Linked DNA regions of Tamandua tetradactyla. The protein of the gene in region 1 purifies or fractionates together with the protein of each later gene. This does not show direct contact. Links are inferred from orthologs where the notes say so. Each region holds a gene or a part of one and is shown in the gene's direction. Other genes may lie near its edges.

Region 1 (8,282 bases):
TGTCCTTCAGAGTGATGGGAATTTTAGACACAGATAGGCTACATTAATTTATAATTTATAGATGTAAAGGATCTGATTGACAAACATCGGGTTTGATAAAGCAAGCTTTTACATACAAAGTGGCTGAACATTTTGAAGAGCTGGAGACTAATTCCTTCAAGTTTATAAATCTGCTGTATAAGTAAGTAAAATCCTAAGTATTCTGTGTTCTAACACCTTTGTGGTGAGCATATTTAGCTTGCTGTCTTGACATCAGAATCAGTACAATGTAGCCATTAGAGAAGAGCTGCAAGTCAAAATTTTTCATTTGACTGTATTCAGTTTTACTGATACATAAAAGAAAATAATGATGTCCTAAAGGCTCTGAGCAGTTCAGAGAAGTATTAATGGAAAAGAAAACAGAAAGAGCAAAAATATCCCACTGCCTCATGGGATAGAAACATGCCATTGTTATTTTTTATTAAATATAGGTAATATCTGTTAAATTAGCTCTATTATATTTACACTCTTTTTAAAAGTATTACACTTATATATATTAAGAATACATAATAATATACCTACAAAATTTAAATAAGCAATAAAGAATTAAATTGCTATACAATAGGACAAACTATAAAAATTGTTATATTTTTGTCACATATATTATTTACTTAATTAGCCCTTCTAGTTACTACATTTAACTAGTCCTATTGCTATTTTTTAAATAGCATTCATATAGCAAAGTAGCACATAATTTAAAGGAAGCAACTATTTTTCATGTTTTTATGTTATAGTAATAACACAAATGTATTATTTATTCTGCCATCAGATTGGCAAAAATAAAAATAGACATTTGCTAGTGTCAGCAAGAATGTGTAGAAAAGACAATCATAGACAATCATATATTGCTTGTGGGAGTATAAATTGGTACAACCACACTGTGAAATAATCCAGCAATACCTAATGCATTTGTTTTCTACTGCTGTGTATCAAACTGCCACAAATTTAGTGGCTTAAACACATTTATTATTTCACAGTTTTTGTATATCAGAAGTCCATATGCAGCTTAGCTGAGTCCTCTGCTGAGGGTCCCTCAAGGTTGCAGTCAAAGTGATGGCTTGATTGTGTTTTCATCTGAAGGCTTGACCAGTGAAGAATCTGCTTTCAAGCGCTCAGGTTGTTTGCGGAACTCATTTCCTTGTGGTTGTATGAATGAGGTCTCCAGCTTCTTACTGGTTGCCAGCTGGAGGCTTCCCTGAGGACCCAGTGACCTGGGTCCCTGCTATGTGGTCTTCTCCATGGCAGTGCAGATTGTTTCTTTAAGGCCAGCAGGAAAGTCTCAAGCAATCTGCTAAGGCAAAGTGTTACACAGTGAAATGTAATCACAGGAGTGACATCCCATCATCTTTGTCTGGTTCTCACTCAAAACCTGAGGATTATAAAAGGCAACACCAGGAGCTGGAGTAATTGGGGACCACCTCAGAATTCTGTATAACACATCTAATAAAGTTAAAGACGTAATATTCTAGGATCTGGTACTTTCCTTGTACATAAGTAGGGATGTATAAGAATGTTCATAGCAGCATTATTTGTAATAGCAAAAGTGTTCTATAATTTTTCAGTTTCTCAAAATGCAAAAAGATATAGTACAAGAGATAGTAGTTTATGTAAGACCATATATGTATGATACTTTTGTAAAATTAAAATATATATAGAAATTCTTCTAGCAATAGCATACTGTTGTTTTGGACCAACACTGAGAATAACTGGACACAATATAAAAACATTAAGGTTTGTAAGGAAACAGGGGTCTAGATTGTAAGCTCTTATAGAAGTTACATTTAGTCTAGAGTGGTAATTACTATTTCTGGATTTTGAGAAGCTGTTTTATATATGTATAACCTGGTATTTAGAGATTAGAATGAAGCCGATCAGGTCAGGATTAAGGTAATTCAGAATACAGGGGTAAGGAAGACATTGTCTATACTTTAGAACCTCATCTACTCTTTGAGACCAAACGAAGAAAGGTTTATTTTGTCCAGAACCTAAATTTTCCGAAGCACATAATCTAACTCAACCTGTCTGGATAGATCATTTAAACAATCCAACAGAGGGAGCCCAGGATAAGAATGAGGGCCTTTAATCCTGTATAGCTTAATGTAATGCCTGGATACATCCCAGAGTATATTAAGCAGATGATCAAAAGTATTGGCAAAGTCCCCTGAGGGATGAGAGAAAAAATATGAAACTATTAAACTTTACCACCAGGAAAACCCCTGATACTGTGTCAAACAGTAGGGACACCCAAATCAATAGGCCAAGCCCTTGATCTTGAGGCTTGCTCTTGTGAAACTTATGTATGTAGTGGAGAAACTTAACCTATCTATAGGTATGCCTAAGAGTCACCTCCAAAGGTGTTTTGTTGCTTAGATGTGACCTTTCTCTCTCTAAGCCTAACTCTGCAAGTGAAATCATTGATCCCCCACCCTGCCCCCAAGTGGGACATGACATCCAGGGGTGAAAGTCTTCCTGCCAGCATGAGTCTGGCCGTGGTATTGTGGGATCAACAATGCCATCCTGACCAAAAAAGGGAAAAGAAGTGGAACAAATAAGGTATGAGTGGCTGAGAGAGTTCAAATAGTGACCTACTTCTGGAGGCCACTCTTATGCAAACTTCAGTTTAGACATTGCTGCCTACCATACCTTGCCAACCCCCAACCCAAAACATTCCAGCAATCCTAAAGAATACCTAGGGCATTATATAAGATTCTACAAAGCTTCCAAGCACTAGGGTAACTTTCCAGAAACCTACAACTTCCAGATAGGTCCCTGGACAAGATAAGTCCTGATATGCAGAGGGGCCAGCATCTCCAGAACATCAACTAGTTCCATCCCCCATCCCATATTATTGACAGCCCCTTCCAACATGAAAAAGTTAGAATGGGCATAGCCCAAATATCCCTAAGGAGTGGGAGATAGGTCAAAGGTGATGATGGAGTTATACAGAGGTCAGGTTTAACCAATGAGTATGATTGCTGAATTAAAATATTGTTATTTCTTTTAGTCTCCAGTATCTTAGAGCAGCTAGCAGTAAAAACCTAAAATTGCGATATTGTAACCCATACCACACTCTGAAATTTGTTCTACGACTAACTGTTGCAACGTACTTTGAAATTTATTGCTTTTTTGTTTATATGTTATTTTTCACAAAAAAAAAAAAAAAAAAGAAAGAAAAGGGGGTGGTTTCTTCTAGCTTCCAGTGTTTTGGAGCTGCTAGAAGGAAAAATCTGAAATAGTGGAATGGTAAACCATAACAAACACTGAAATTTGTTCTGTAACTACTTGTTGAAGCGTACTTTGAAAATCATTGCTTTTCTTTCGTTTGTATGCATGTTATATTAAAAAAAAAGTTTAAAAGAAAAAACATAAAGGCACTGAAAAGCTACTAATGTAAAAAATTGTGGGTCCAAAATCTGAAGTAAAGGGAAGTCATGAGAGGTGTGTCTGACATTTGCCACCTCTTTTCCACTTGATGTGCCTACTAATTTTGAAAGAAGTGACCAAAAAACTGAGTTTTGAGCTGTTTTAAAGAGGTGGGTATGTGGGGCCAAGGAGAGGCCCTGGTAATACCCCAGACGTTTGGTTGCAACACTTGGGAGCTATACCATAGCTGGGTGTAAGAGCGAACTGGAAATGAACTAGCCTTCACAAAGACTGAAGTCCACCTTTGAACAATCCAAGTATCTGACTGGAATAAGGTGATCTGCTCTTACCCTAGTTTGAGCAGGCATACAAATCCCTAAGTGTCTCCCATAGAACACGTTGTCTTGCCCCAGCTCCCTTGTTCAAACTTCAGTTCTTATCTACGTAAATATATTGTCAGTGGGAAGGCTCACGTGGCAGAGACAGATCCGGGAGATACGGACGTTGTCCTGGACATACGAACCGCAGATAGTGCAGGTTTCCCCAGTGCCCACCCTCTACCACTTATAAGTGTGCTAACCTACACCATCCATCTCTTTTCCTTAGTTTCTCGGCGTTTCCATAAAATTGATTTGATAAACCACGTCATCTGTGAGACTTTCTATTTCGTACCTCTGCTGAGGTGGCTTCATTTTTTCTTTTGGAGCCACTGCTTCCCCACATTTAACTAATAATTATTTGCCTCAAATTATCGCTTGAGAGTACTTAGTGAGAGTAAAACCAGTGTTTTGTTTCACTTAGTTTCTTAATTTAAAAAACAAATCATTTATTCATACATTATCAGGTAAAGAGGATGGAAGAGAATTAAAAATGGAATCCACAATTCCTGCAAACGTGCAGCAAGCGAACGCCTTCTTAGACGTGAGGCCACTCACTTTTAATATTTTTAAAATACTCCCCCGTGCTTCAATCATTCCATCATTCGTACAGTAAACATGTATTAGGTATCTACCATGTTGGAGGCTAGATATAAAGGAGTGAGTGGGGCTCTATCCGCCCTTCGAAGAGCTTAGTGAAGACAGGTTTGTAAACATGATTTTGCAATTCCGCGTAAGAAGTACCGTCTCACTGTCACTCTTCTACGATTCTCCAACCTTTTCCATTGACTACAAACCTCGTCCTCAGCGAGATCCTTCCCGGACCCCCAACTCCGTACTGATTCGGGACTAATGGCGTGGTGGGTCAAGTAAGATCTTAGGCAGACTACATCTCCCGGCAGCCTCTGCAGCGGTGGAAGTGGTGGGACCCGCGCAGGCGCGTGGGCTGGTCCCTTCACGCAAGCGCGCTGCGAACGCCGGCTGATCAGGGTCTTGCTCCTCGGTGCGCGGCGGCGGAGAGAGAGGCCTGGTGAGCACCGCTGAGGCGCGAGACCAGCTCCTCAGGGTTGCGCAGGAGAGGCACGGCCGGCGAGCGTGCGGCTCCACCACTGGCACCGGGATCGGTTGCCTTGAGCCTGGTGAGTGCGGGGACCCTGTAGTCCCGGCCCCTCCCCCTCCCGCAGGCGAACCCGGGCAGTTCTCGTAGGGACCCGGGTGAGGCCCGGGGACGAGGTCGGGCGCCGGCTGGGTCTCGAGCTCGGGTCTCTGAGGCCGGGCACTCCTGGCGTGTCCGTGCGTCACGAGCCCGGCTGTCCTAACGGCCGCGCGGCCGGCTGAGGGGAGGGTGGGGGTGGGGAGTGCTAGTGTGATCGCCGTCAGGAGCGCCGGTCGAGGCGGGGCGGCGCGGCCGCGGAGCTGGAAGCGGCACGGGGACTGCGGGGCGCAGAGTCAGCGGGGCGGGGAGTAGGCGCGCGCGGAGCTTGCGCCGCGGCTGGGCGCGAGCCGGCGAGGGGCGGGGGTGGGCGCCGCAGAGTACTGTGACAGAGGCAGGAAAGTGTCGGGGTGGCGTGTAAAAATCCTCACCGAGACAGGAAGGGACCATCTTGGGAATTCACAAGTTATAGCCGGAGCCGGAGGTTGGGGTGGGGTGAGCGGGACTGCAGTTTACAAATGTCATAACAACATGGGCCTGAAGCGGCTGACAGGGGTGTGGTAATTATAGGAATTACAGAACTTCGTGTGTTCATATCGTATGTAAGTGGTGAAACGGGGGAAACAGCGAAGTATAAGATTAAGCTCAGAATGTGAGGAGAAAACTGAGGGACGAGTGGAGTCGGGGAAGTTGTCATGTCACGAAGGAACGACTTAGGGTGGAGTGAATGTACTTAATGTTCCACTTATAAAGGAAAGGGTAAGGCTTAAACTTAGAAGCAATTGCAAAATATTTTTCTAAAAGTGTTAAATTGTATTAATAGCTTTTCATCCTTTAAAAAAAAAATTGACGGTTCCCCCAACCCCCTATTTCTTAGCAGTAGTTGTTTCAAGATTAATTCTTTACATTGTTCTTGCTTTTGTAATATTTTGAAAATAACCAGAAGTTGTTCCACCCTCCTCCCATTTTAAAGATTAAAGAGATAAAATTTTGTTTTTTTTTGTTTTCTTTCCCAGAGAAAAGTGCGAATGTGCTGTATTGGGCTTTTATTGAAAAAAAATTATTCTTGGAAGGTACTGATGATTTTAAGATGGAGGTCTTGAGAGAAAGTACAGGAATTAATATTTATTGAGCTTTTTTTTTTACATCTTTTATTTACATATTTAATGCTTATAATACCTTACATATTTTATTTACGTATTTAATGCTTGTAATAACTCTGAAATAGATGATATACTAACTTTTCCTATTTTACAGATGAAAACATTGTATGTCAGAGAAATTAACTTACTTAAGGTCAACCAGCTTTTGTTGGAACCAGTTTTACCACCCCAAATCACTGCCATTTTAAGACCTACCCCTCTGCTTACATACTTCTTGGTTGTGTTTTCTTTTTTTAATCCATTCAGCAAATACTATGGAGTGATTCTTTGCTCGGAGCTGGGGATATAGTCCTGATCAAGACATATTGTCCCTGTCCTCATTGCATTTACAGTGTAGCAGGGAAGACTAGCAATACAAATAATATCTGCATGACATATTATTAAATGGAAGCAGACAACATAAGCCTTGAGAAGCTTAGAGTCCAGCAGGGAAACAAAATATTACATTTGTAGAAACCTAGAATAAACCCAATGACAGAAATAAACCCATCACTTGAAATCATTATACTTTTTGCATTATGTTACTTTAGCTTCTTGTCAACATTTCTTCACAGAACTATTAATATTTTGCACCTTGATTTTTACCTAGGATTGGGTATATAAGAAGGGACAACACGGAAAAAATCTTGTTCCATTGCTGTCCAAGATACTGTTTCTAATTTACTTCTTATAAAATAGGGACCTTAGAGACAACATCTAAAGAGTGTAGTGCTAGGACTTTTTCTTTGTTTTAAGCAAATAACTGCTTTTTATTAGAGCATGATTGTTTTGTAAGTCATCCTGCTTCTTTTTATACTTTGGCTTTCAGGAGGCTCATCAGAGCTAACTTGTGTTCAGTTTTTGTAATTTTCCTTAGCCTCAACTATATTATAACTTACTTTATGCTAAATAGTCTAGAATTGTGCTCAGTTGTTTTGTTCTTTGTTCTCTTTTGCTCTTCCATATTTTATCTTTTCCCTTTCATTTCAAGATAAGAATTATCTTTTTGTCTCCAGCATTTTAGCAGTGTTGAATTAATGAAAAAATAAAGTCTTGATCATTTTTTGTGATGTCTCTGCCTTTGTAAGTCCATCAATTTTTTTTAAAAGAATATAAATACTGTGCAGTTATGACTTTTGGTTGGTCATGCAAATAAAGATTATTTAGTGAATTTAAAAATCTCTTGTAAAGAGAAAAAACCAAACAAACTAAAAAAATCTCATTTTCCTTTTTATTTTGTTGTAAGAGCTTTCTGTACTTTTTAGGGTATTATGAATTCAGCCATAAAAATGGAGAAAACATTGGAAAAGGTAAACAGTTAAATTAGCTGATTTGGGGCGATTTCACTCTTGTCTTGCTGCAGTGAGTAGGAGGTTGTCCTAAGTCATCTGGGTGGGAGTGGGGGCAGGATGGGGGTCAGAAAAAGCCTGCAATAGAAAATTTTGAGGTCAGTGAAAAAGCCTGGATAAAGTCTGATGGGATATACAGTTGTTGTTATTTCTAAGATAGTACAACCCTAGAAAACAAACCTAAGTGAAAAAATAGTTCTATTGTTGTAGACTAACTGGGACAGTTCTTGAAAGCAGCCAGTAATCCAGCATGTGGATGACGGGGATTATCTTCACATAACAAGAATAATGCTGCCCTTCGTGTACAAGAATAAGTCTGCTTATTCATCACATAAGATTCTAGTCTAAAAGTTATTTTTATTCAAAGTTTTGAAGTTATAGCACTGTTATTTTCTGGCTTCTGTTGAAAGCCAAAGCCATTGTATTTCTTCTTTATTGGTAAGTGACCTCCTCCCAAGTTTTTAGGAATTTTTTTTTTTAACCCCTGAAATTTCATGGTGATGTGCCTTGGTATGGGTCTTTGTTCAGTTAAGTGAACTCCATGGGCCCTTACAAGAGGGGAATTTATAGCCTTTAGTTCTGGGATATTTCTTTTATTATGTTTTCTTCTGAATCTCAGGTAGAAAGAATTTTAGAGTTAATTATGCCTTTCAGTTCTTGACATGCTGTCATTAGCCAGTACAAGTTGTTTTAAAATTGTTTTTCTTTCTTTTCTGAGCCCTGCTTTCATTGTCCTTTCCCATAGGCACCCACTCCATTGTGGTTGATAGATACTCTGATTATATATGTATCATTGTGAAATATATTTGGAGTGTATTTATGTGTGGGTTTAGTTTATCTGTTGTGCTATAGACTTTGT
Region 2 (7,931 bases), on another chromosome or scaffold:
CCCTCCATGTGCCAGTGATGGGACGGCAGCAAATCTAGTCTTCGCTTAAGTATAAACCCAGAGTAAAAGGAAGCCACAAGAATCCTCCTTCCAAGCCAGTACACACACAAATCGGGGTCAAGAGTTAAAGGCACAACGCCATCTGCCCAGTGACCTATCCTTACCCTTTGGAAAAAACAAGAAAATACCTTCTTCCTCAACACAGGCTGCCAGTGATTCTGGGCTTCTCCTGTCACGTGGCAGCATCTGCTGTCTCTCCCTTCTCTTCCAGGTTTCACTGCTTCCAGGCTTTGGGGGCTTCCTCTGTTTCTGTGTCCTTCTCTCAGCTTCTGTGTCCTTCTCTCTGCATTTCGTCCTCTCATGAAGGACTCCAGTAAGAGGATTAAGAATCACCTGGGGCCCGCCTCCGCTGAAATAACCTAATCAAAAGGTCCCCCCTACAATAGGTTCAAACCCACAGGAATAGATTAACTTTAAGAACATAATCTTCTGAGGTCCATTCAGTTTCAAACTACCATAGCATCTTCAAATAAATTGAAGAGAGACACTTCCTAACTCTTTCTGTAAGGCCATGCTTACCTAGATCCTGAAGTCCGATTAAAGATATCACAAGCAGAAAAAATGATATACGAGTATCCCTTATGAATACACACACAAAAATCCGCCACAAAACTGTAGCAAAGCAAGTCCAACAGCACATTAAAACGATTATACAACATGATCAAGTGGGACTTCTCCCAGCATTTCAAGGGTGGTTCAACGTAAGAAAATCAATGTAATATACCACATTAACGGGATGAAGGAAAAAACCCACACTATTTTCTCGATTGATGCAGAGAAGACATTTGACAAAAACCAACACCTTTGTTGATGAATACACTCAGAAAGTTAGGAATAGAAAGAACTTCCTCAACATGATAAAGCACCTATGAAAAACAGCAAACATACGCAATGGTGAAAAACCCAACGCTTCCCTGAAAGGGAAGGAAGATTGAGATGCCTGCTTTCACTTTGCAATTCAGTATTGTCATAGAAGTGTTAGCTACAGAAGCTAGTCAAGAAAAAGAAAGAAAAGGTATCCAATTTGGAAGGTAAGAAGTAAAAGTATCCCTATTTATAAATCGCATGATCCTGTTATACAGAAAATCCCAAAGAAACTTTAAGAAAGCTACTAAAGCTGATGAGTGAGTTCAACAAAGTGGCAGGGCACAAGATTAAAACCCAGGAAACAGGGGTGTTCTAGATACCAGCAATGAACAAGGAAGAAATGTACCTACCGCAAACTATGGACCATAGTTAACAGTATATCTTAATATTCTTTCATCAACAGTTAGACATGGACCACACCAATACTAGGGGTCAATAACAGGAAGGAGGTAAGGAGTATGGGATGTTTTGGGTATACTTTTTATTTTTATTTCTTTTTCTGGAGTAATGAAAATGTTCTAAAACTGATCATGGTGATGAATGCACAACTATGTGATGATACTGTGAGCCACTGATTATATACTTTGGATGTTTATATGGTGTGTGAATATATCTCAACAAAATTGCATCACAAAAAAAGGAGGGCCAAAGACTTGATTAGACGTTTCACCAAAGAAATATAAACAGCCAACAAGCATACAAAAAGATGTTCAATATCATCAGCCATTAGGGAAGTGCAAATCAAAACCACAATGAGATACCACTTCACACCCACTAGAATGGCTACTATTCATGAAACGGAAAATAACAAGTGTTGGCGAGGATGTGGAGAAATAGGAACCCTCATGCACTGCTGGTGGGAAAGTTAAATAGAACAGCTGCTGTGGAAAACAGTTTAGCTGTTCCTCACAAAGTACAGAAGTACCATGTAACCTGGCAATCCCATTTCCAGGTACATACCCAAGAGAATTAAAAGCAGAGACTAGAACAGTATTTGAACCCAATGTTCAGAGCAGGATTATTCACAAGAGCTAAAGGTGGAAGCAACCCAAGTGTCCATCAGCAGGTGAATGGATAAAAAACGTGGTCTATCCATACTCTGGAATATGACTCAGCCTTAAAAAGGAACCGAGTTCTGACACAATCTACAACATGGGTGAACCTGGAAGATACGTGTTGAATAAAATAAGACAGAGGGATTGTATGAGACCTTCAAATGAAGTCATTCAAAAAGCATCTTCATGGAAACAGGAAGTCGATTCTATATGTCTCCAGGGAGGTGGGGAAGGGAAATATGGGGCTAGTGCATAAAGAGTGCAGGATTACTGTTTGAAGTGGTGAGAAAGTTATGGAAATGATGGTGGCAAGGGCAGCACAACATGGAGAATGGATTCATCCCAGCGAGTGGTATACTTGAGAGTGGTTAAGAACAGAAAGTTTACATTGTATGTTACCACAATTTAAAAGAGAGGGAAAGACTAAAGAGATGACAACACATGATCCTGAACTGATCTAAAACTGGAGAAAATGCCCAAGAGGACAATACTGGGACAGCTGAAAAACTTGGAATATAGACTGTGCACTTTATGTCAATGTTAAATTTCCTGAATTTGATAACTGTGCTTAAGGTGGTTATATAAGTAAATGATCTTTGTTTGGAAATACACACAGAATTATTCTGGGCCATGAACCCCACCCCACCCCCAAAAAAAAGAAAAGAAAAAGAAATAAATATGCACAGAATTACTAAGTATTCAGGGAGCCTGATGCACGCAACCTACTTTCAAATGTTTATGACATAGAGTGATATAACAAATGCGGCAAAAAGTTAAATGTTGGTAAATCTGGGTACGAAAGGTATTGGATTTCTCTGCATTGTTTCAGTATTATTTTTGCAACTGTCCTGTAAGTTTGAAATTATTTCAAAATTAAGTTAAAAAAAACAAAACAAAACAGGAAGGACCATACTGCTTCCTCCACGTGGGATAGGGGCTGGGATCTGCTGGGATCCACTGTCCACATACTTGCCCCCCACACCTTCCCCCGCCCAGGGCGCGTCCTCCTACGCAGGACCCACAGCCTCTTAAGGGAATCCTGCTTTGGTGATGAAGGCCCAGGCTGCAGAGACAGGGAAGATCCCACCTTTGTTTGCTGATTAGCTGTGTAGTTTTGGGCAAGTTGCTTGTCCTCTCTGAGCTGTGCTTCTTTCTTTATAAAGGGGAAGCACTGATAGACACTTTAAGGCTTGTGCTAAGTGGTCATTATGTCTGGCAGGTGATGCAAGTGGATGTCTGGGGTGGGGGTGGGAGAGACATTTTTAAAAAGCTAATTCTTATTTTTACCACCTGCTAGGCACTGTACTGTACAAGTACTAACCCATTTTATCCTCAAAACATCCCAGTGAGGTAGATATTATCGTTCTTACCATTTTATATACAGGAAACTGAGGCGCAAGAAGGCGGAATTCCCCAAGACCACACAGCCAGTACATGCATCAGCAAGGGTTTAAACCCAGGCAGCTGGCTCCAGAGTCTGCGCTGTGCGGGAAGGACACACAGAAACTTCCAGTGGGGATCCTGGGATGGGAGGGGCTGTCAACCTAGAGAGGAGGCAATTCCCATTTGTGCCTGGATAAGCTCAGCGGGCTTCGTAGGGGCTCTGGGAGGATGCCAAGGAAGTAAGCGAGCAGAGTCTGGTGCACCCTGTGGGAGGGCAGTTTAGAGGGGAGGTGGGCGCTGGGCTTCTGAAGGACCTGTGCCTGCGGATGCAGCTACCTTTCTCTCCCGGTCTGTCCGTTCCCAGGCTGCACCAGAAAAAGGGAGGAGCTAATTTCACTGCAAGTTCCATACCTGCAGCATTTCCCCCTGCACCTGATGTGGCTGCTTTTTGGGAGAGAGGGGAAGCTGGGGCAGTGGCCACAGTCCCAGGGGTCTGGGCTTCGCCACTCACTTGCCTGGCCTTGACAAGGCACCGTACAACTCCCACTGCCGACAGAGACCGGGGGACCCTCAGTTTACAGATGGGGAAACTGAGGCCCAGAACCAAGGTCCGCGATGCACCCCGCTTAATAGACCCCTTTCACCATGGGGGATGGGAACTAGGGTCACTCCCGTTTCTCAGACCAGGAGCCTGAGGCGCAGGGAGAGGAAATCATTTGCTCGGGGTCTTACAGCCCGTCGAGAGGCCGAACCCCCCACCCCCACGACTCCGACTCTCCGCTTCTAGGGTCGGTGCTTTGTTTGGGGCGGGGGGCACCCAAACAGCCGCGGAAGTGGTTACCGGCCGATTCGCCTGGGACGGCAGGAGGAGCTTCGGAGGCGGGGGCTGGAAGGCGGCCGGCGACCCTGCGGCAGACGGCGCGCGGACAAAGGGCAGGGTCGGGAAGAGGGTAGGGGGCTCCGGCCGCCACGGCCGCGCAGCTGCGCTGCTTCTCCGCCGGCTACCGTGACCCGCCCCGGCTTGGCTGCTCCGCGAGCCTCCCGCTCCCGCCCCGCCCCCAGCCCAGGCGCGCCCCCGCGCCGCGCGCGCCCGCCGCCCCCGGGACGTGACTCGTAGAACGTTCGCTTCCCGCAGCCGAGGCGGCGGCAGGAGGGGCACCCCGGACAATGCGTGGCCAGTTTCGATGACCGCCGCCATCTAGGTCTGGAGCTGGGCCCAGTGCTCCCGGTCCCGCAGTTTGAGAAGTTTCCGCTGGTTTCAAAAGTTTCCTTAAGCGTAGGGGGGCTTCCCTCCGGGGGTTCTCCATTCAGGCACTTACTTAGCCACCCGTTCGCCCTTCAGGGGTCCTCGCCGCCCTCCTCCGCCGCCGATTAAGTGATTGACGTGGTAACCAAGGCGACCGACCGATTGACAGGCATCCTTACCAACCGACTTCCGGGAGTTCCCGTCTGGGCCCGCCCGACGCGGGGCTGGAGACCCAATTAAAGAAGTGGAGGCGCCAAAGGGGGCGGTCACGGGGCAGCGTAGGTTGTGGCGGTTCCCCGGTGATTGCGCGCTGAGGGCTGAGGCGATTACGGGTACTCGGGCGATGCCTTGACACGGTCCAGCGGAGGCGTCGAACGCGTGAGCGCACCCCTGCGGAGGGAGCCCCTAGGCCCTGGAGGCGTCGCGGCGTCGAGACAGGCTGCTGTTGGCGGGTGCTTCCCCGAAGCCCCTCGGCGAGTGGGGGAGGGGCGGCGGACGTCGCTCGGGGGGCCCGCCTCCCCCTCTGCGCCTGCGCGGGTCTCTCGGCCGGCTGGGTCCTCCCGCCTGCGCATGTCCGTAACGCGCGGAGCCGCGGTGGCTGGTGGCTCTGCGCGTGCGCTCGGAGGAACCCGCTGAGGAGCGGCGCTGGCGGACGTAGGGCGGGCGGCCGGCCCGTGACGTCTTGAGGAGCGCTTTAAAGTGCAGGCCGGGCCGGGCGTCTGAGGGTCCGGCCGGGAGTCGGTCCGAGTCCCCGCGGCGGTCCCCCGCGGCATGAGGCGCTGCCGGCGCCCCTGCCCCCCGGGACGCGGAGAAGAAGGCGGCGGCGGAGGAAGACCAGCGGCCGCCACCGCTGCCTGACCCGCTGCCCCTGAGGCCTGGTCCCGCGCTCGGCTCCCCTCGACGTCCCCCGCCGGCTCCTCCGGCCACGCATGGGGGCCCGGCGCTGAGGACCCCCTCCCCTCCGGGGGTGCCGGGGCGCGTCCCCCAAGGGCCATGCCCGGCCGCCCCGCCCGCCGCGGAGGACCCTAGAGCAGCGGCGCGGGGGCCATGGCGGCCGCCAGCGGCTACACGGACCTTCGGGAGAAGCTGAAGTCCATGACGTCCCGAGACAACTACAAGGCAGGCAGCCGGGAGGCGGCCGCCGCTGCCGCTGCCGCTGTGGCCGCTGCTGCCGCCGCCGCGGCCGCGGCCGAGCCCTACCCGGCACCCGGGGCCAAGCGCAAGTACCCGGAGGACTCGGACCCCGAGCGCAGCGACTACGAGGAGCAGCAGCTGCAAAAGGAAGAGGAGGCGCGGAAGGTGAAGAGCGGCATCCGCCAGATGCGCCTCTTCAGCCAGGACGAGTGCGCCAAGATCGAGGCCCGCATCGACGAGGTGGTGTCCCGCGCCGAGAAGGGGTTGTACAACGAGCACACGGTGGACCGGGCCCCGCTGCGCAACAAGTACTTCTTCGGCGAGGGCTACACGTACGGCGCCCAGCTGCAGAAGCGCGGGCCCGGCCAGGAGCGCCTCTACCCGCCGGGCGACGTGGATGAGATCCCCGAGTGGGTTCACCAGCTGGTGATCCAGAAGCTGGTGGAGCACCGCGTCATCCCCGAGGGCTTCGTCAACAGCGCCGTCATCAACGACTACCAGCCCGGCGGCTGCATCGTGTCCCACGTAGATCCCATCCACATCTTCGAGCGCCCCATCGTGTCCGTGTCCTTCTTCAGCGACTCCGCGCTCTGCTTCGGCTGCAAGTTCCAGTTCAAGCCTATTCGGGTGTCAGAACCTGTGCTTTCCCTGCCCGTGCGTAGGGGGAGCGTGACTGTGCTCAGGTAACCTACCTGGGAGGAGGGGGCTGCCTCGTACCTTCTGCCCTAGCTCCCCGCCCTCTGTCCCGGGAGGCTGCAGCAGCAGCCATTCGGAGCCCAGGCTTGCGATCACGGTCCTGATCCATTCTAAGTTCTTCTGTTTGTAGGTGATGGGGAATGGCCACGGCCAGAGGCCCTGACCAGAAAGCCTGGTCAGGGACCCGATCTAGAGTTCTATATCCCCGAGGCAGGTTTGACACAGTCCTGGACCAGACTGAGAATTCATCCAAAGTCATCTTTCCAGAAGTCAGCCTGACTGGATATCAGAAGGCTAACAAATTTCTTTTCGTGTGTGATTTTTTTTTTCTAGGCAAGCCACTTTTCCATGCTTGGGCCTCCACTTCCAAATCTGTGTTGTATTTTAAACAACAGGCGAGTCACGCTTACGATCCGAAAGTCTTTCAGATGTTACCATTCTTTGTCTTTTTAACAGAGAAAATGCTCATGGATTCCTTAGCAGAGAAAATACTCCCAGGTGAGGTTCCCTGAGAGGGCTTAATTGCTGCACAGTCTCCTCTCCCAAGAGAGGAAGTTACTTTCCTGGAATCCCACAAAGCAGTGGTTGGGCCAGGAATAGGTAGGGTTGAGTATATTTAAAGAATTCTACCCCCTTGGCTGTGGAACAACCTATAAGGTCCTTCATAAAAATGGGTTCCATTTAGTCAGGACCGACTAAAACAAAATAGCTGTTTTTTTGGCCTGACAGTTATGTCGGTAACAGAACTTGGTTTCCTGGTCTATTTGGGGTCCCAGACCCTGCAGAGAATTAGCTCGGTCCTGGCCCAAGAAAAAGAATGCTTTCTGGGAACACCTTTCTTTGGTTAAATGAAGCAGAAAATTTATTTGAAAGCTGTTGCCTTATTCCAGCCCTGAAACAGGTAAACTAGGAGCATACTTAAGTAATCCCCCAAACCTCTTAGGAGGACTAGACTGCAGCTGTTCAGAGTGGCATGGTTGACCACGGAATTAAAGTACAGGATCAGGACACACTGGGGATCTGTTCTGAGCAGCTTAACCTCTGAAGTACTGTCAGTTCAGTGGGCCCTGTGGGGAGAAGCGGTCCCTGGAGCCTTCTTGATACTGGGGGCAGGTCCTCGATCTCCTTTGAGTTGGGCAGCCGAGGCTGCTTTCCTGTCGGGCTGGCAGCAGAACCTGTGATGTCTGAGGCCTCCTAATGGAAAGTTGGTGGCAGCAGAGGCAGCACTTAGGCTTCCTTATGCCTCTGAAACACGGCAGATGTCCACCTCAGGAGCTCGAGGGCCACTTACCAGTCATTCAGGCTTCAGAGCCCTTCCCTCATGTCTGCGTCCCAAGTCCGTGTCTTGGCAGACCTCATTAGGGTGGGATTCCCAGGACAGACCCTCCCAGTGGCTAGCTTTGTCAGGCATCTTGGCGTCTGACTGCATCGCAGGGCTGTTGATGCTAAGAGGAGCTCACACAAGGACTGTTTGGTTTCTTAACGGAATA
Region 3 (8,196 bases), on another chromosome or scaffold:
TATCACCTATTTTAGACCTATCTTAGATTCTTAGTTTACTAGGGTTGCTGTAACCAGGTACCACAATCTGTGTAGCTTCAAACAATTTCTTCTCTCACAGTTCTGAAAGCTAGAAGTCCGAAATCAAGGTGTTGGTAGGACCATGTTCCCTTGGCCTTTTGGTTTCCATGTCTCTTCTGGTTTCTGATGACCCAGAGTTCCCTGGCTCTAATCTCTACCTCCATCTTCACATGGCCATCATCCCCCTGTGTCTGTGTTTCTGTGTCCAAATTTTCCTCTTCTTATGAGGATACTAGTCACATTAGACTTAAGGCTCACCTAATCCAGGATGACCTCATCTACACTTGATTACATTTCAAACACCCAATCTCCAAAGAAGGTCACATTCCGATATTCCAGGTGGACATGAATTTTGGGAGGCTACTATTCGATCCAGCACATAACCTAAGGTCTCTTCTCACCTTTTCTCTCTGAACATCTGAACAACAACTTCCCCAGGCCAGAAAGGAGTTTGAGTGGTGGGAAGGCCCTTACAAGAATATATATATATATATATATATATATATATGATATTCTTAACTTTGTGATCCATGGTCTATACCTTGAATCTTCTTATGCAATGCAAAAGTTTTAAGGAATCAAAGCAAAACAAAACAAACTCATGTACCCGACTGCCGGTGCGATGGGTGTGCCCGCCATCGAGCCCCTGACCATTGCTTTCCTTTCTCTTCGTTGTCGCAAATGCCCTGAGCTCGGTGCCAGTGGGGACCAGGAGGTGGAACTAGAAGCATTCCGTTTGATTTATGAAGGAGATGAAAGTTTCTGGGAGGTGAAAATGGTGATCCCAAAGCCTTCTTAACAGAGATTTCCTGAACAGAAACATATCCCCAAATACCTCCAATTAAATCTATGAATGCTGTTTAACAACACTATGTGAGTAGTGGTTCATTTTCATTGTTTTCTGCTTTCCCGTCCCTTTTACTTTTCTTCCGTAGTGTGTTTGTTTTCATAGTATATTAGCCCAGCTACAGGAAGCAGTTGAAGTTAATCTTGGAACTGCTATGACGTATATGTTGTTGAATATGCCAAAGACAATAAAGAACAGTTCATGGAGATACACCAACCCACTATGGTTCTGCGACAACCATAAGCAATATCATCTCAGTTGAAACTCCTAATACAGTCCCATCCAGTAAGAAAAGACAAAATAGAACAACTTGAACAACTTTCAAAAGCCCAGAAACACAAGCTGGCAGATAAAACACATCACAAAGGGGAACTTCCTCGAGAATGGAACTGGGTTGATGTGGTTAAGATATATACTATTTGTCTTCCAGTTTTCAAAAAATTGTTATAATCATTGCTATCAAATAATGAAATTTATATCTTCCATCCCACCCCTACCCTGGCCCTGCAACCTTTAGATTTTACTGGAATGTAAATCTTTCCTTTTTTATATTGAGCATTTAAACAAAACTGGTTCTAAAGATGATGAATAATGCTTGGAATTTGAGACAAGGAAAGTGCATCCTTTAAAAAAGGAAATTGGATTCAAAATCTTTGAATACTCTTTTCTGGTATTGAAGTGGCTTTTTATAAGACATTTTTTTTTTAATGTTCCTTGTGTAAAAAGCGTTGTAAGTTAAAAGTTCAGAAAACGATCTGTGTTATTTTCACAAACTTGCCTTAATAAAAGGTGAAAATGGTAGTTTAGTATACTTTATGAAGCCTGTGAAGATCTGTAACTGGACAAATATGGGGAATAATAGATAATAAGTTCTAATTTATATGACCTTATTCTAGAGGATGTGATATAGTTTTAAAGTAGTATGAAACCTTTTATAAACTCTCATCCCAATGGAGCAAAATACTGAGCAAACAGTTATTCAGCACTATGATCCATAGTGATAAGCTTTGCATCTTAAATGAAGTCTTCATCTCTTGTTTCTCTTAATTACTTAAGCATAAATTGCTTCAGAAAAATTTGCATCTCAGTATATGAACTTTATACATAATACTCTTTGAATTTCTTTTTATTTTTCAAGTATGAACTGCCTCCCTTTAGTAAGTGGATATCCGTTTATACATTTCTCTCGGTTTGGGTCAAGATGTTTAATCACGCGCTCTTTCTATCATATATGAAATAGGATAATATAAAAATAAAAAATCTGTTGAATATATTAGGAAGCATTTTGAATAGAAATGATGGTTCTTATTTAAAACATTACTCTTTGCTATATATACTATGATGGAGTAAAAGATGCCTTAATATTTAATTTTTTAGTGTTGGAGACAATGATTCTAATAAATTCCTATTTATCTGCTATTATGTTTTTAGCTGGTAAACTGAAGGCTTCTGAGTGGTTTAACAAAAAACCCACACTTCAAGTCTTGCTGCTTTTCTGAGTCTTTTTTTAACTATACAAATATATTTCTCAACCTGAGCATTTTTGTGATAATGGACATAGAAATCTTTCAAACGTTGAGTTGTAGAACCTGCTTGATTTTTGAGGAAATCATTAATAGAGGAAAATATTGGTGTATTTTTAATCTGTTAGGAAAAGTTATTGATGCTTATGTGTGATTTACAGTGATTCTGTATATGCTTCCCAGCTACAACTACACTAGAACTACTGCCGTGGTATCCAGAGAACAGAAGTGTTAGTTCCTCATGTCATGCCTGTGCAGGTTGAGTCCGAGTTTTTTAAAAAAAAAAGTAACTTATAAAGAGGTTACCTTAGCATAAGAGCAGTTCCTTGAGTTGTAGGCACAGTTTTTACTGGGCTAACATTGACTTCAGTTAAAACTTTTGAATTATAAAGTGAGTATAAATATAACAAAGAAGCTTAACCTCATTTTCAAAAGGTGAATCATAGTTTATTTCTTGAATTAATATGATAGAAACATTAAAATCAGGATCACTGGAATATGCCAACTTTCGTATTCAGTTGTGCTGTATAGGTTTTGTTATATTTAATGGTTTGCTTGCTTTTCAAAGAAACTGTAAAAGCTCACTCTAGTAGTGGAAGGAAATATTGTTTTGCTCCAAAGATTATAAAATTGTTCAGCCTTATTGTGGTTAATAAATGGTCACCAAGAATGCTAGTTAAACGCCAATGAACTGTTTTTACTCTTTTTATATGATATATATAAATTTCTGGGTGTGATGGTGGCAGTGGTGCCTTCCATTACCTTTTGTCAAACACGCATTTTCGCTGATGTTGCCATCATCTTTTTAACACTCCTGGTACAGTTTCTCAATGTCTGTTTACTTAAAATGGTTTGGAATGACAAAATTAACAAGCAATAAAATCTGAATTACCATGAAAAACAAAAAACAAACAAACAAAAAACAGGTACGTTTTCTGTCAAACACCTGGCACTTAGAAGTACTCCAGCTTTTAGACTGTATTTACTGTATTATAACTTTTAAAACTTATTTAGAAATTGCCTTAGAAGCATTTGCTCTTCCTTACAGGTGACAGAACCCCATGAATTTATGGTTAGAAGGTTATAAGGCAACAAGAAAAGAAAAATTGTTGGTTTAAAATGACAAATAGCATCCATCTATATAACCAAAAGTTATTTTACTTGTTGCCTCACCTCACACCTTGCCAAATAACTCATGAAATGAAAAACTATGAAATCCCCCCAACCTTTTACAGAGCCAGGTTTTTGCAATTCTTTCGTCCCTCTAAATTTTTAGCGATTAACAGTGAAAAGAAGGTAAGAATAGCAAAACTAGAAACAAAACCCCAAGCAATCAAAATTTCTTTGTGCCTATGTTTATAGTTTCTTTTAGAATAGCCAGAAAATGAGCAGTAGTGTTATTTCCATACAGTAAATGCATTTTGATTATTTCAGGATGCATTCAAATCACATCTTTTTAAAAAAATTTTACCTACTCTAATCCAAAGTGACCTTTTTTTCCTTGATTATTCTGATCCAGACATTTTTACAGCAAAGCCCCCCAAAAACTATGGAAAGGAAAATTTATTTTATATTCATAATTTTATCATTTATTAGATCGTATTAATTTTAAAGTACGCATATACCTATCATTGGAAACCTAACAATAATCAACTGTAAAGAACGGAGAGGAAAAAAAAATAGATACAAGAAGGGGAAAAGTTTGGGGCGGCAGAAATAAACAAGTCAAATTTCCACGCTGGTTCTTGGCTCTTTGCTCAGTTGGAGGTAACACGACTGTGGGTTTGTGCAGTTTTGTAGCTATTGAGCCAAAAAAAAAAAAAGGAAGCAGGCACTGCTTGGGTTGAGAGACCTAAAAAACTGCGGAAAGCAACCCTAACCCCTGCGGAGAAAAGGACTCCTCGGAGTAAATCGAAGTGGAGTAACATAGGAATTTTGTTACTGTTGCAGCTAATACGCACCCCCCCCATTCCTAACCCCCTCTGAGACGGGCCTCAGAACGCTTCGCTTGTGTACATCCCAAACAGTGCGAGAAGCTGCCTTCAACCATAATCAAAACATGGAGGCTAGGCTTTGTTTATTTGGGAACGGATCAAAAACAAGCGTCTTAGGGCGGAGACCCAGAGACCTCGCTTTCGTACCGCGGCTCAAGGTCGGTCAGGAAATTAAAAGAGCCTCCAGCCACACGAGGACTTCATCCTGCCCGGCCCAGGCTTTTTCGCCTCTGGTTCCGGCGGCGCGCGGGGTGGTGAAGGAAGCCGGCCGGGAGGGAGCGCGGCGTCACAAAGCCAAGCCGGAACGCGGAGGTTTCCGCAAGTGCAGGTCGCCCGGCCGAAAACCCACTCGCAGCCGGGCCTCGACGGGCGGGAGGCGCCCAGCGCCCGCCTCCCCCTGCCCCCTCCCGCCCCCGGCCCGTTGGGGCCGCGGCGTCGCGGGCGCCGCAAAGCGTCCTGGGAGAGCCGGCTCGCGCCGGAAGGACGCGCGGGCGCGCCACAGCGAGGTTATAAAAGGGACGCAGTCGGCGGCAGGCGGAAGTGGGCGGTTCAGCTGCTCCCCGCGCTGTTTTTTTTTTTTTTTTTTTTTTGGTGTTTGGTGTTTGGGCCTCCCCAGGGGCGTTCTTGGGAGGGCCGCCCGTGCAGGCCGCAGTAACAGAGCCGCTCGCCGCCGCGCACCCCGCCTCTCTCTCGGTGCAGCGTCTGCTCGCGGCCTCCGCGACCTGCAGGCCCAACATGGCGCAGGAGGTGTCGGAGTTCCTGAGCCAGAACCCGCGGGTCGCCGCCTGGGTGGAGGCGCTGCGCTGCGACGGCGAGACTGACAAACACTGGCGCCACCGCCGCGAGTTTTTGCTCCGCAACGCCGGGGACCTGGTTCCCACTGGTGGTGTGGACTCCACGAGCACGGATGAAGCTGCGGACGCCGAGAGCGGGACTCGCAATCGGCAGATGCAGCAGCTCATCTCCTTTTCCATGGCCTGGGCAAACCACGTCTTCCTCGGCTGCCGGTGAGTGGGCAAACCGCGCTAACCAGCTCCCCCACCCCACTTTTGTCTTCTATCCCCGGCCTTCAGAGGGGAGGGGAAGCGAGGCGCGAGAATCCGCGAGACCCGGCCGGCCTCGAAGGGTGAGAAGGGCGTTTCTGCGAGAAAGCAGAGGTGATTAATAGTGCATAGGTGCCCCGTCGTGTAGGGGGCTTTTTGTAGAGTTGTTGGGGTTGAGCTGACAGAGGTCTTGTGGGTGGACAATAGATTTAAAGATTTGTAAAGCGGGGCCCCCGCCTCCCGGACCATGGGGCATTTGTTTATGTGCTGTCTTTAAAAGAAACTTTCCGGCGGTTGGTACGCTTGATTGAGGCCAGGAAATGCAGTTCTTGGGGCCTGTTTTTGCACACCGGAAGTAGTAGCTTAGAAAAAAACACTTGTTAAAAGTAAACTTTTCCCTCTTTTTCAGGTACCCTCAAAAAGTTATGGATAAAATACTTAGTATGGCTGAAGGCATTAAAGTGACAGATGCTCCAATCCATACCACAAGAGACGAACTGGTTGCCAAGGTGAAGAAAAGAGGGATATCGAGTAGCAATGGTTAGCAGATCATAGATGTGAACATACATAGGAGTTTGGAACATAAGCTTAATATAATTAGGAATTATGACTTTTCTTTTTTAACAAGCCCTAATTTACATAATGTTATTAATCTTGTTGGAATGTTAAACTTAAAATATATTTGTGTTTGTTTTAGGATCTGAATTTGATAGTTCGATTGTTTTTATTTTGAAATGTCGACTATGTGTCTTATGCTGTTAATATTGAATATTAGAAATTAATAACATGTTATTCAGCACCATTTTAAGATATTAATGAAGTTATTCCACATTTCTTAAAGAAACTATTAATCTGGAAATATTTCCACCTCATACTTTCATTTTAATAAGTATCTGTCTTATAAAATTTAGCTGATATGTGTTTGGTAAAGTTTAAAACAAATCTGTATTTTTTTTTTCTTTTTAGAAGGGATAGAGGAGCCATCCAAAAAGCGAGTCATAGAAGGGAAAACCAGTTCTGCGGTTGAGCAGGATCATACAAAAACTTCTGCCAAAACAGAACATGCATCAGCTAAGCAGGAAAACAGTTCAGCTTGTACGGGGTCCTCCACCAAATCAGAGAGTAGAGGGAACTCAACTCGTGGTCAGAATAGCTCTACAAGTGATGGGGATCGATCTGGTTCCTGCCAAAGCAGCAGCAGCATTTCCTCTCAGGTAACAACAGCAGGATCTGATAAAGTTTCTGAATCAGAAGCTTCAGATAAGCATGGTTCAGCATCACTTGTTTCTTTGTTGAAATCGAATGTGAATAGTCATGTGACCCAGTCCAGTGATTCCATACAACCCAGTGTTTCACCTAAAAAGAGTGCTTTGGAAGGCTCTTCAGTCTCAGTTTCTCAAAGCAGTTCAGAGATTCAGGTACCCTTGTTGGGCTCTTCAGGAAGCTCAGAAATAGAGTTGCCACTGTTGTCTTCTAATCCTAGTTCAGAGACAGCTTCAAGTGGGTTAACTACCAAAACTAGTTCAGAGGCAAGTATTTCATCATCCGTTTCTAAAAACAGCTCCTCATCAGGCACATCCTTAATAACTTCCAAGAACAGCTCCTCAACAAATACATCGCTACTGACTTCTAAAAGCACTTCCCAGGTAGCTGCATCGCTATTAGCTTCCAAGAGCAGCTCCCAGAGCAGTGGATCTCTGGTTTCCAAAAGCACTTCCTTAGCAAGTGTATCCCAGCTGGCTTCTAAGAGTAGTTCTCAAACTAGCACATCCCAGTTGCCTTCTAAAAGTACTTCACAGTCAAGTGAGAGTTCAGTCAAATTCTCTTGTTGCAAGTTAACGAATGAAGATGTAAAACAGAAGCAGCCTTTTTTCAATAGACTGTATAAAACAGTGGCTTGGAAGTTGGTAGCTGTTGGTGGCTTTAGTCCCACTGTGAATCATGGAGAACTCCTAAATGCAGCTATTGAGGCTCTGAAAGCGACACTGGATGTGTTTTTTGTCCCACTAAAAGAACTGGCAGATTTGCCTCAGAATTTGAGTTCTCAAGAAAGTATTGTTTGTGAGTTGAGGTGCAAGTCTGTGTATTTGGGCACTGGCTGTGGAAAAAGCAAAGAAAATGCAAAAGCAGTTGCATCAAGAGAAGCATTGAAGCTATTTCTCAAGAAAAAGGTGGTGGTGAAAATATGTAAAAGAAAATATAGGGGTAGTGAAATAGAAGATTTAGTACTCCTTGATGAAGAATCAAGACCTGTAAACTTACCTCCAGCATTAAAACATCCTCAAGAATTACTATAATGTGTCTAAAAGATCACTGCATAAAATATTTAGTATTTGAAGAGAAAAACTGGCTTACTTTTGTATGATATAAAACAGGCTTTCACAGATTTTGTATTGCTTTTTTCCAGTTTTGCAGAAAATTTACATTCTAATTCTCTTCACACAATAGAAGTTGTAAATAATCTGTGAATGACAGTATACATTAAAAGGTATGCATTAACAGCATACTAGTATGCTGGTTTATTTGCTGAAGAAAATACTGTCTTCTATTTTTAATGATATTAGGTACGATGTGTAGTTCTGTAGCATCTTAAAACTTTTGTACTACTTTCAATTTGGTGAAACTATTAAGTTGTCTACCATGCTTTTTTTTAAACTGAATAAACCTTCACATTAAAGAAAAGGGGACCACAGTATTTGAATCTCTGAAAGTCTGTGAAACTTAAAAGT
Region 4 (7,451 bases), on another chromosome or scaffold:
GGCCTCGTGTGGTGGGGGCACCAGCCGCCGTGGCCTAAGGGGACCGCCTGTCCAATTCTACCAGCTGGCCTGGGAAGGTGGAAGGGAGGGACTCCGGTCGCTTGCCGTCCCACCCAGGAAAGCCCGTGCCCCTTGGTGATCTCACCGGAGCTGGTTCTCCCAGATAGTCAGCCGTTCCAGGATGGGGTACGCTGTCCCTTTGATCTCCCTCGTGGCTCCGGGAGCTGCTCTGTATTATCTCCACTCCCCCAGTAGCTGTTCTGGAGGAGGAAAGGTGAGGGCAGCAAGGCTGTCGAGGCTGGTGGCGGAGGAGCACGATGAAGGCGGGGGAAGAGGGCACCGTGGTGGTTGGAGAGCAGCCGGAGCAGGAGGGGGAGGAGGGGGGGGAAGGAGGTCGGGCGGCTCGGCTGCTGCGGGGCGTGGGCGCCGCGCGGCGGGCCGGCGGAGAAAGAGAGGGGGGGAGGAGGTCGGGCGGCTCGGCTGCTGCGGGGCGTGGGCGCTGCGCGGCGGGCCGGCGGAGAAAGAGAAGGGGGGAGGAGGTCGGGCGGCTTGGCTGCTGCGGGGCGTGGGCGCCGCGCGGCGGGCCGGCGGAGAAAGAGGGGGGGGGAGGAGGTCAGGCGGCTCGGCTGCTGCGGGGCGTGGGCGCCGCGCGGCGGGCCGGCGGAGAAAGAGAGGGGGGGAGGAGGTCGGGCGGCTGTGTTGTGTTTTTGATGTAAACTTTGTAATTCCAAATCTTGGAAACTTTTAATTAAATGTTTAAGTTCAAAGGTAATACAATGTATGATAAAGCTAATTTATAAGAGTATTTTTTACTATGGAAAATTCCTTATTTAATGTCAAATTAAAAATTTCTTTTAAAATGAACTTTAATTTTTTTAACATGATTTTGATCTGACGGGTATGATAAAACTGGGAATACAAATTGGGGATATTTTATTATTTGCAAAGAGTCAGATTTGCTTCCTAAAGGTAAAGTAGTGGAAATATTCTGCCATGGGATTTGCTTTGGCAAAAGGTTCAGAGATACAGGTAGACACTTGGTATACATTTGTGCACTGAGACTTGCCCTCTTGGAATGCCTCTACTGTCTCCATGTGAAGAAGATGGATTTAGACTTCTTGAGGAATGGATGACTACATTGTATGTGAATATATATGCCGATAAAAAACAACTTAAAAAAAGATCAAAGTGGAAGGTGGAGTTATAACAGAGAAGATAGGATTTAACAAATGAGCATGACTCCTGGATCATTATATTGATATTTCTTTTAGTCTCCAGTGTCTTGGAGCAGCCAGAAGGAAAAACCTAGAATTGTGGAATTGTAGCCCATACCAAATTCTGAAATCTGCTCTATAACTAATTGTGGTGTGCTTTGAAATGTATCGCTTTTTTATATATGTTATTTTTCACAATAAAAAAAAGTAAAAAAAAAAAAAAAAAAAAAACCCATGAGTGTAGAATGATATTCAAGAGTAAGAATTCATTTTTTCCTCAAAAAATTTTATTCAGTTAAGAAAAATATTGTAAACTTAATTGTAGATGTATTCTCAAGATGGATCAAGCATACAAAGGACAACAGAGTGTTAATGGGATGAGAAAGACAAGACTCTCTTCCCATGGAATATAAACAGGTTTATGAGACTTCCTGCTACTCCCTCATCACCCACCCACTTACCGGACATTCATCTACTAAATTGTTAATAAACATTAAGGAAGTGGGGCAAGACATTCCGTTCAGAGGCATGAAAGACCCTCCCACCTGAACCTGCAGTTTATAGATCTTACCCTTTCAACAGACTATATGTGGAGATACTACCCACCCTTTTTTAAAATTTAATTATTGGGTCATGGTTTCACCAGTTGTTTAGAGTCTGATTGTTGCTAAAAATGCTGGATGAAGGCCAAGGGCTCACATATCTAGTCTTCCTTTAACTCGGACCTAAAAAACAGTGAGGGTCAAAAGAATTGTCACCCTGACCCAAAATAATTCCACTCCAGTGAGCTTATTGGCTCTGACCTTTTCTAGGGAATGAAATAAGAAAAAAATTTATTCACAGTTTTATTTTTAAGTATTTTGCTTTTTTTCCAGTTACACTTGCACGTGATTTAAAGATTCAAAGATTCCAACAAGACTTCCCATTTCCTAAAGGCAACCACTTTAACTTTTAGCTGATTCTTTGCAATTTCCCTCCACGTTTCTAAACACCTTGTTCATGTTTCTATTGCTTGATGTTTTGGTTAGTGGTTATCTATTGACTTCTCAGTTTGGAAAATGATTCATCTCTCTTTTGCACACTCCTCTTCCCCATCTCCACTACACTTGTACACTTTGTCCTTTAATTTTTCTGATATACTTAAACCATATTTTGCATACCCTACCCAATCAGCATGATGTCATTGATATAATGGATCATTGCGATGCTCTGCGGATGTCCAGAAGGTTCATATCCTTTTCAAGCTATTTTACCATAGAGGGAAGGAGTTTTAACAGCCCGCGGGCAAAACTGGAAATAAGTATTTTTGCCTGTTCAGTGGGAAGCCAACTCTCTCTGATCCTTTCTTATGTATGGAATAGAAAAGAATACATTTGCAAAATCACTCATGCATACCGAATACCTGAAGCTGTGTTCCGCATTTCAGTAAGGATCAACCACTACTCAATTGCTCCGGTAAACAAAAACAAAAAGCAGTTTTGGTGATCTGTCTCTTTTTTTTCTCACATACCACACAGCCAATCCATCAGCAGAACTTGCGGGTTCTACTCTAAAATATATCCTGAATTTTAATTAGTTCTCAATACTTCCACTTGTTTTATTCCAAGCCAACATAACTTATCCCTGGACTAATAAAATAGCTTCCTAGCTGACATTTCTATTTCCACTCTTGAGGTTCAACAGTCTACCCATCAGAGCCACTTTGAATATGCCACTTCCCAGTTGTAAACAATCTAGTAATTCCCCATCATACTTAAAAATAAAATCATATCTCCTTACCCTATTTGTACAGAGCCTCGCCTATCTCATTCTCTTTCCTACTATTTTCTTACCCAGGTTCACTGTGCTTATCAAGGCTACTTTCTTACTCAGGCTCACTCACTGTTTCCTCCGTAGTCCCACTTAACATTCGCTCTCTTCTCAAATGTCAACTCAAAGACGTCTTGACAGACTTAAAGCAGCACGCTTTTCATCTCTTTACCCTATCGGTTGCATTATTTCCTAACATTTTAGATGGATTAATGCTTCTCTCCGTCCAATGTAAGGTTTCTTTAGAGAAGGGAATGTTAATTTACTCACTGCCGTATCCTTAACGCCTAGGAAAATGCCCGGCACTTGAGCAGGCGCCTAAAATCATACTTGATTAAATGATTTGAATTGAATTTATCCTGCTTAACAGCAGCACTTGCTTTCTGAGGTCACCTCACTTCGTTAACCATGCAAACACAGAAGGAAGCACACGGGTGAGACCTGCGTTGTCGCTTTTGAGCGCTTTGGTAGAGCTTTCGCTGAAATCCCTTGACACTCTCCTAGCTAGAGCTGGGTCTTAACATTCTCTCGCGGCGGGGAAAATGGAAGGAGTGAAAAAAAGAAAATGGGGCCTGGAGGGTGCGAAGAAGTGATCTCAGCTCTAACGATGTCCGGCTGAGAATTTACTGTTTTCAACGGCAAGGCTATGTTTATTGGGACGGCCCTGGGCCAGGGCTGCGATCCCGAAATGAAAGCCCTGGTACAGAACGACAGCAAATTGGTCAGCCATTTTCCAAAACCAGTCTGCCAGGTTACCCCGCCGACTGGGTACGCACGACAGGGGGCGGGGTTTATTGTGAGGGCCTCACTTCGGAAACCGCACCCTCAGTGGCGTCCCACGGTCCAGGATTAACAAACTGCGAAGCAAAATACAACAGTCGCAGCGAAAGCGCGCACTCGATCGCCAATGCGAGCGGAAGGAGGGAAACTGCCGCTTAGGCACACTCTGCATGTCCAATAATGATTGGCCGGAGCCCTCCTCTCTTCTTTTTTGGTATTGGCTGGACTTCCCTTCCCCGCCCATCCAATTGGTTTTTAACTAGATACTTTTGATTGGCTCCTCCTGGTGGTGGTGGGGCTAATTTTTTGTAACCCACCGTCACGGATTGGTGGATTTAAGCACCTGGCGGGTCCTTCTCGCGAAAGGGCCCGCCCCCTGGTCTCTCTGTCCTGTCTCCCGACCCGTAAGCTTTTATCCCAACTCGCGCGCCCGAATGGTTAAAAAAAAAAAAAAAAAAAAAAAAAAAAAAAGGGTGTGAGGCTCGAGCCCGCCAGCCAGGCCTCCAGCACCTCGCGCGCGCCCTCAGCGAGGACCCTCGCGAGCTGCCCTTGACTGTGCCTGCGCTGTTTCAAACTACAGAACCCGTTAGGATCTTGGGGAAACTACCGTTCCAGCTGGTTCCGGAGCCCGTGAGTGCCAGAGGGGCGAGTGGCGGTCGCGAGGTGACTCTTGCCTTTCGCGTTTATGCAGCGTGGAGACTAGAACTGGCATTTTCGAAGGACGCCGCCTTCAATAGCAGCGCTGGCGCGGGCGGGGGCTAAAACACGGGGGTCCTGAGACTGAGGAAAACGCGCCAAGTTCCCCTCTGTGGTGGAGTGGGGAAGACCCTAGCGGATCAGGGGTTTCGCAAGCGGGACCTGTTCTGCGCTCCTTTCCCTCCCAGGGCGGCCCTAGGCGGCCACCGCACTGGGGATGTAGTTGGTGCGGACGCAAAGCAGGACCGAGTGGCGGCCCAGGTTCCCGCTCTTGAGAGCGAATGGTCACTTCCCCGCGGGGAGGGCGAGCCGAACAGCCTTTCCTTGGGTCGGAGATCCAGCGGGCTCGCGGCAGGGACTCACCTGTCGCATTCAAACCCATTCGGGTTGGAATCGTCGGCGTCACCGCCGCGGACTTCGCTTTGGGTCATGACCAGGTAAGGACGGCCTGGGAAGGAGGGGCCGGTGCCCGGGCGCGGAGACAAGTTTGACTGGCGCCCGAGTGGGTCTGCTCCGGGACAGGTCCTGAGGTTTTACTGAGCTGCTAGCCAAGCCTTCAGTGCACCGGGAGGGGCGCCCCTTCCCGTCGCCGCTGGGAACTCACGAAGGCAGGTGCGGGCTGGGCATAATCAGGCCAACTCTTCTGGTGAAGGGGTCAAGCGTTTTTAAGTGAACGGTAGTGAGGGCCAAAGGCCAGCGTCCCACCTTGCCTAGTGCTTGTGCCTGAAAGGGCATAGACATCCTTTGACACGTCTCTTGTCATCTTTTCAGTGTCCTTCCTGTTCTCTAGAGTGGTGGGATAGGGAGAAGAAATGTTTTCACTCACGTTGTCCTATGGCTGTGTAATTGCCTTATTTTACCGCGCATTTTTTCCACTTCTTATTTTTTCCAGACGGGTTTAGCAAGTGACCACGTATCTGAAACCTTTGCTGAGACTATTATATATAAACTGTTATATATGTTTCTTGAAAAATAAGAATTGCGTCTGTCATCTTATAAAGAAATCAACAAAACATAACCAGTGGTACTTAGTGTTTACGCTGTCATTTGTTCAAGAACAATTAATGTTCGGTTCATTCTCTTTACTTCGAAACTTGATGTATAGTTTTAGGAGAAACATTTTAGATGGAACAACCCAGTTATAAGGAAAGCCAGGCAGCAAGATGTTATATTCTAGGTAATGCTAAGTATTTGATTATTGCTTTGAGGGAACCAGGAAGGTTGGCTTATTGATAAGGATGATGATACCTTATTTCAGATGCTTGATCATTTTTCCCTTCTATTTATTTAAAGACGATGACTTTGTTACTTAGAGAATGCAGTTTCTGTTTTGATGAAATTGGCTCCGAAGAAAATCCTTTTAAGAAAACCATTAATGTTTAGAGATCCCTGACAATTTAGCTCAGACTGGTTTGTTATATTGTAGCATTTCGTAAGTAGCATTAGGTGGTCAGGAGAATAATTTTGAGTTGGAGACAGGATGGGGAAATTGGTCAGCTGTCTAGTTCTTCGAGTTTGGGTCTCAAGAATGTGGTTTCACCATTGAGTTCAGTGTTGCAAATTCCCAGGTCAGTGGAGTGTAATGCTTACAGATGGAATTTGAATGAATTTTTTTGTGCATCTTATTAATTTGAATGTACTTTTGTAATTCGTTATTGAGGTTATGGTTTCTAAATAATTTTCTGATAATACTGCAATCACAGTTTCCCCCCAGATGCCGAAATGGAAACTTGGAATGATGTATAAAATAGTTACCATAAATGTCCCCATGCTTTTGCATATAAATGTTTTATTTTAAAACAGGAAAAGTAGGAAAGGTTGCAAAGAGAAAACCAAATCATATTTTTCCTGCTGAAAGTAGCTTTTTTAAAAAAACCATAGATTGAAAAGAGTGCTTGGAAACTGAGTAGAATATTGTGGTTTAGAACACATAAAAATTTGATATATGCAGAGTGCAAATTGTTTACACAACCTACAACTTTGCATAATTTATTACCTTTCACTGAAGTTAAGTGTAATTGAACACAAGATCTATGCCTTTTCTCATATGCAAATTATACTTTAAATATGCTTTTTAAAATCTTTATTTCATATATTAACTCACATTAACATCTGGAAAAGGCCATTGGAGGGGGGACTTGTTTATGTCCAGCACTACTTTAGAGGGCTTTAGAACTAGAGATGGTAATTGCTCAGTCAGTATTTTCTGCAGGATTTAATACATTATGAGGAAAATGTTTTTTTCTAAGTCAAATATTTTTTTTATTTTGGAAAATATTCAAACCTAGAGAATAATTGCAAGAACAGTACAATGAAGCTAGATTCAACAGTTGTCAATGTTTTGCCACATTTGTGTTCCTTGTCTCTTTATACGCATATATACATAAATGTATATACGTATTCATATACAGATTTTCATTTATTCACTTGTATATTTTACTGCTGGAATATTTTAGAGTTAAGTTACCAACATCATATTCTTGCATTTCCAAAAACTTTTAATGCTATCTCATAAAAACAAGGACATTATTTTACATACCCATAATATAATTATCGAATTCCAGAAATTTAACAGTGACACTACGCTATTTGAGGAAAATGTTTTTATTCCTTACTATTAGTTTACCATAGGTTCTACTAAATGTTGTATTTGTGATGGGGATCCTTAATCTAATAGTAGGCTGCTAGGTTCAGTATCTGATATTCAGAAAGTCTGAGGACAATATGGCAAGGTCCTTCATTTAGGCAGCAAACGTTGAGTGCCTGTTACTGCTGGGCATTAGTTTTTCATATATGAAGTTCTAACCTTGCCAGATTTGTTTTCAAAATTGGTGGTTTTGTTGCCTGCAACTGATAACTGAAATCTAATGAAGCGCTTTCTCTGTGATTAACAGATATAGTTGGTGATTCCACCTTTCCCGTAGAAATTAATTGTCAACTTTTGGGATTTGA

What was found.
Region 2: the proteins of KPNA1 (region 1) and ALKBH5 purify together in Homo sapiens (co-immunoprecipitation; 3 studies listed by BioGRID and IntAct, with this or other methods). This does not show direct contact. The link is inferred for Tamandua tetradactyla from reciprocal best matches to the Homo sapiens genes KPNA1 and ALKBH5.
Region 3: the proteins of KPNA1 (region 1) and CDKN2AIP purify together in Homo sapiens (co-immunoprecipitation; 4 studies listed by BioGRID and IntAct, with this or other methods). This does not show direct contact. The link is inferred for Tamandua tetradactyla from reciprocal best matches to the Homo sapiens genes KPNA1 and CDKN2AIP.
Region 4: the proteins of KPNA1 (region 1) and USP1 purify together in Homo sapiens (co-immunoprecipitation; 6 studies listed by BioGRID and IntAct, with this or other methods). This does not show direct contact. The link is inferred for Tamandua tetradactyla from reciprocal best matches to the Homo sapiens genes KPNA1 and USP1.

What each region holds. Positions count from the first base shown.
Region 1 is NC_135336.1:22,987,015-22,995,296, forward strand, and holds the start of KPNA1 (importin subunit alpha-5), read left to right. Parts: upstream 1-4,730; 5' UTR 4,731-4,918; intron 4,919-8,282. UniProt on the Homo sapiens protein: Functions in nuclear protein import as an adapter protein for nuclear receptor KPNB1. Binds specifically and directly to substrates containing either a simple or bipartite NLS motif.
Region 2 is NC_135332.1:1,831,639-1,839,569, forward strand, and holds the start of ALKBH5 (RNA demethylase ALKBH5), read left to right. Parts: upstream 1-4,767; 5' UTR 4,768-5,658; coding exon 5,659-6,428; intron 6,429-7,931.
Region 3 is NC_135352.1:29,459,357-29,467,552, reverse strand, and holds the start of CDKN2AIP (CDKN2A-interacting protein), read left to right. Parts: upstream 1-4,992; 5' UTR 4,993-5,159; coding exon 5,160-5,431; intron 5,432-5,876; coding exon 5,877-6,007; intron 6,008-6,433; coding exon 6,434-7,764; 3' UTR 7,765-8,196. UniProt on the Homo sapiens protein: Regulates DNA damage response in a dose-dependent manner through a number of signaling pathways involved in cell proliferation, apoptosis and senescence.
Region 4 is NC_135328.1:157,562,241-157,569,691, reverse strand, and holds the start of USP1 (ubiquitin carboxyl-terminal hydrolase 1), read left to right. Parts: upstream 1-4,282; 5' UTR 4,283-4,433; exon of another isoform or gene 4,434-4,936; intron 4,937-7,393; 5' UTR 7,394-7,451. UniProt on the Homo sapiens protein: Negative regulator of DNA damage repair which specifically deubiquitinates monoubiquitinated FANCD2. Also involved in PCNA-mediated translesion synthesis (TLS) by deubiquitinating monoubiquitinated PCNA.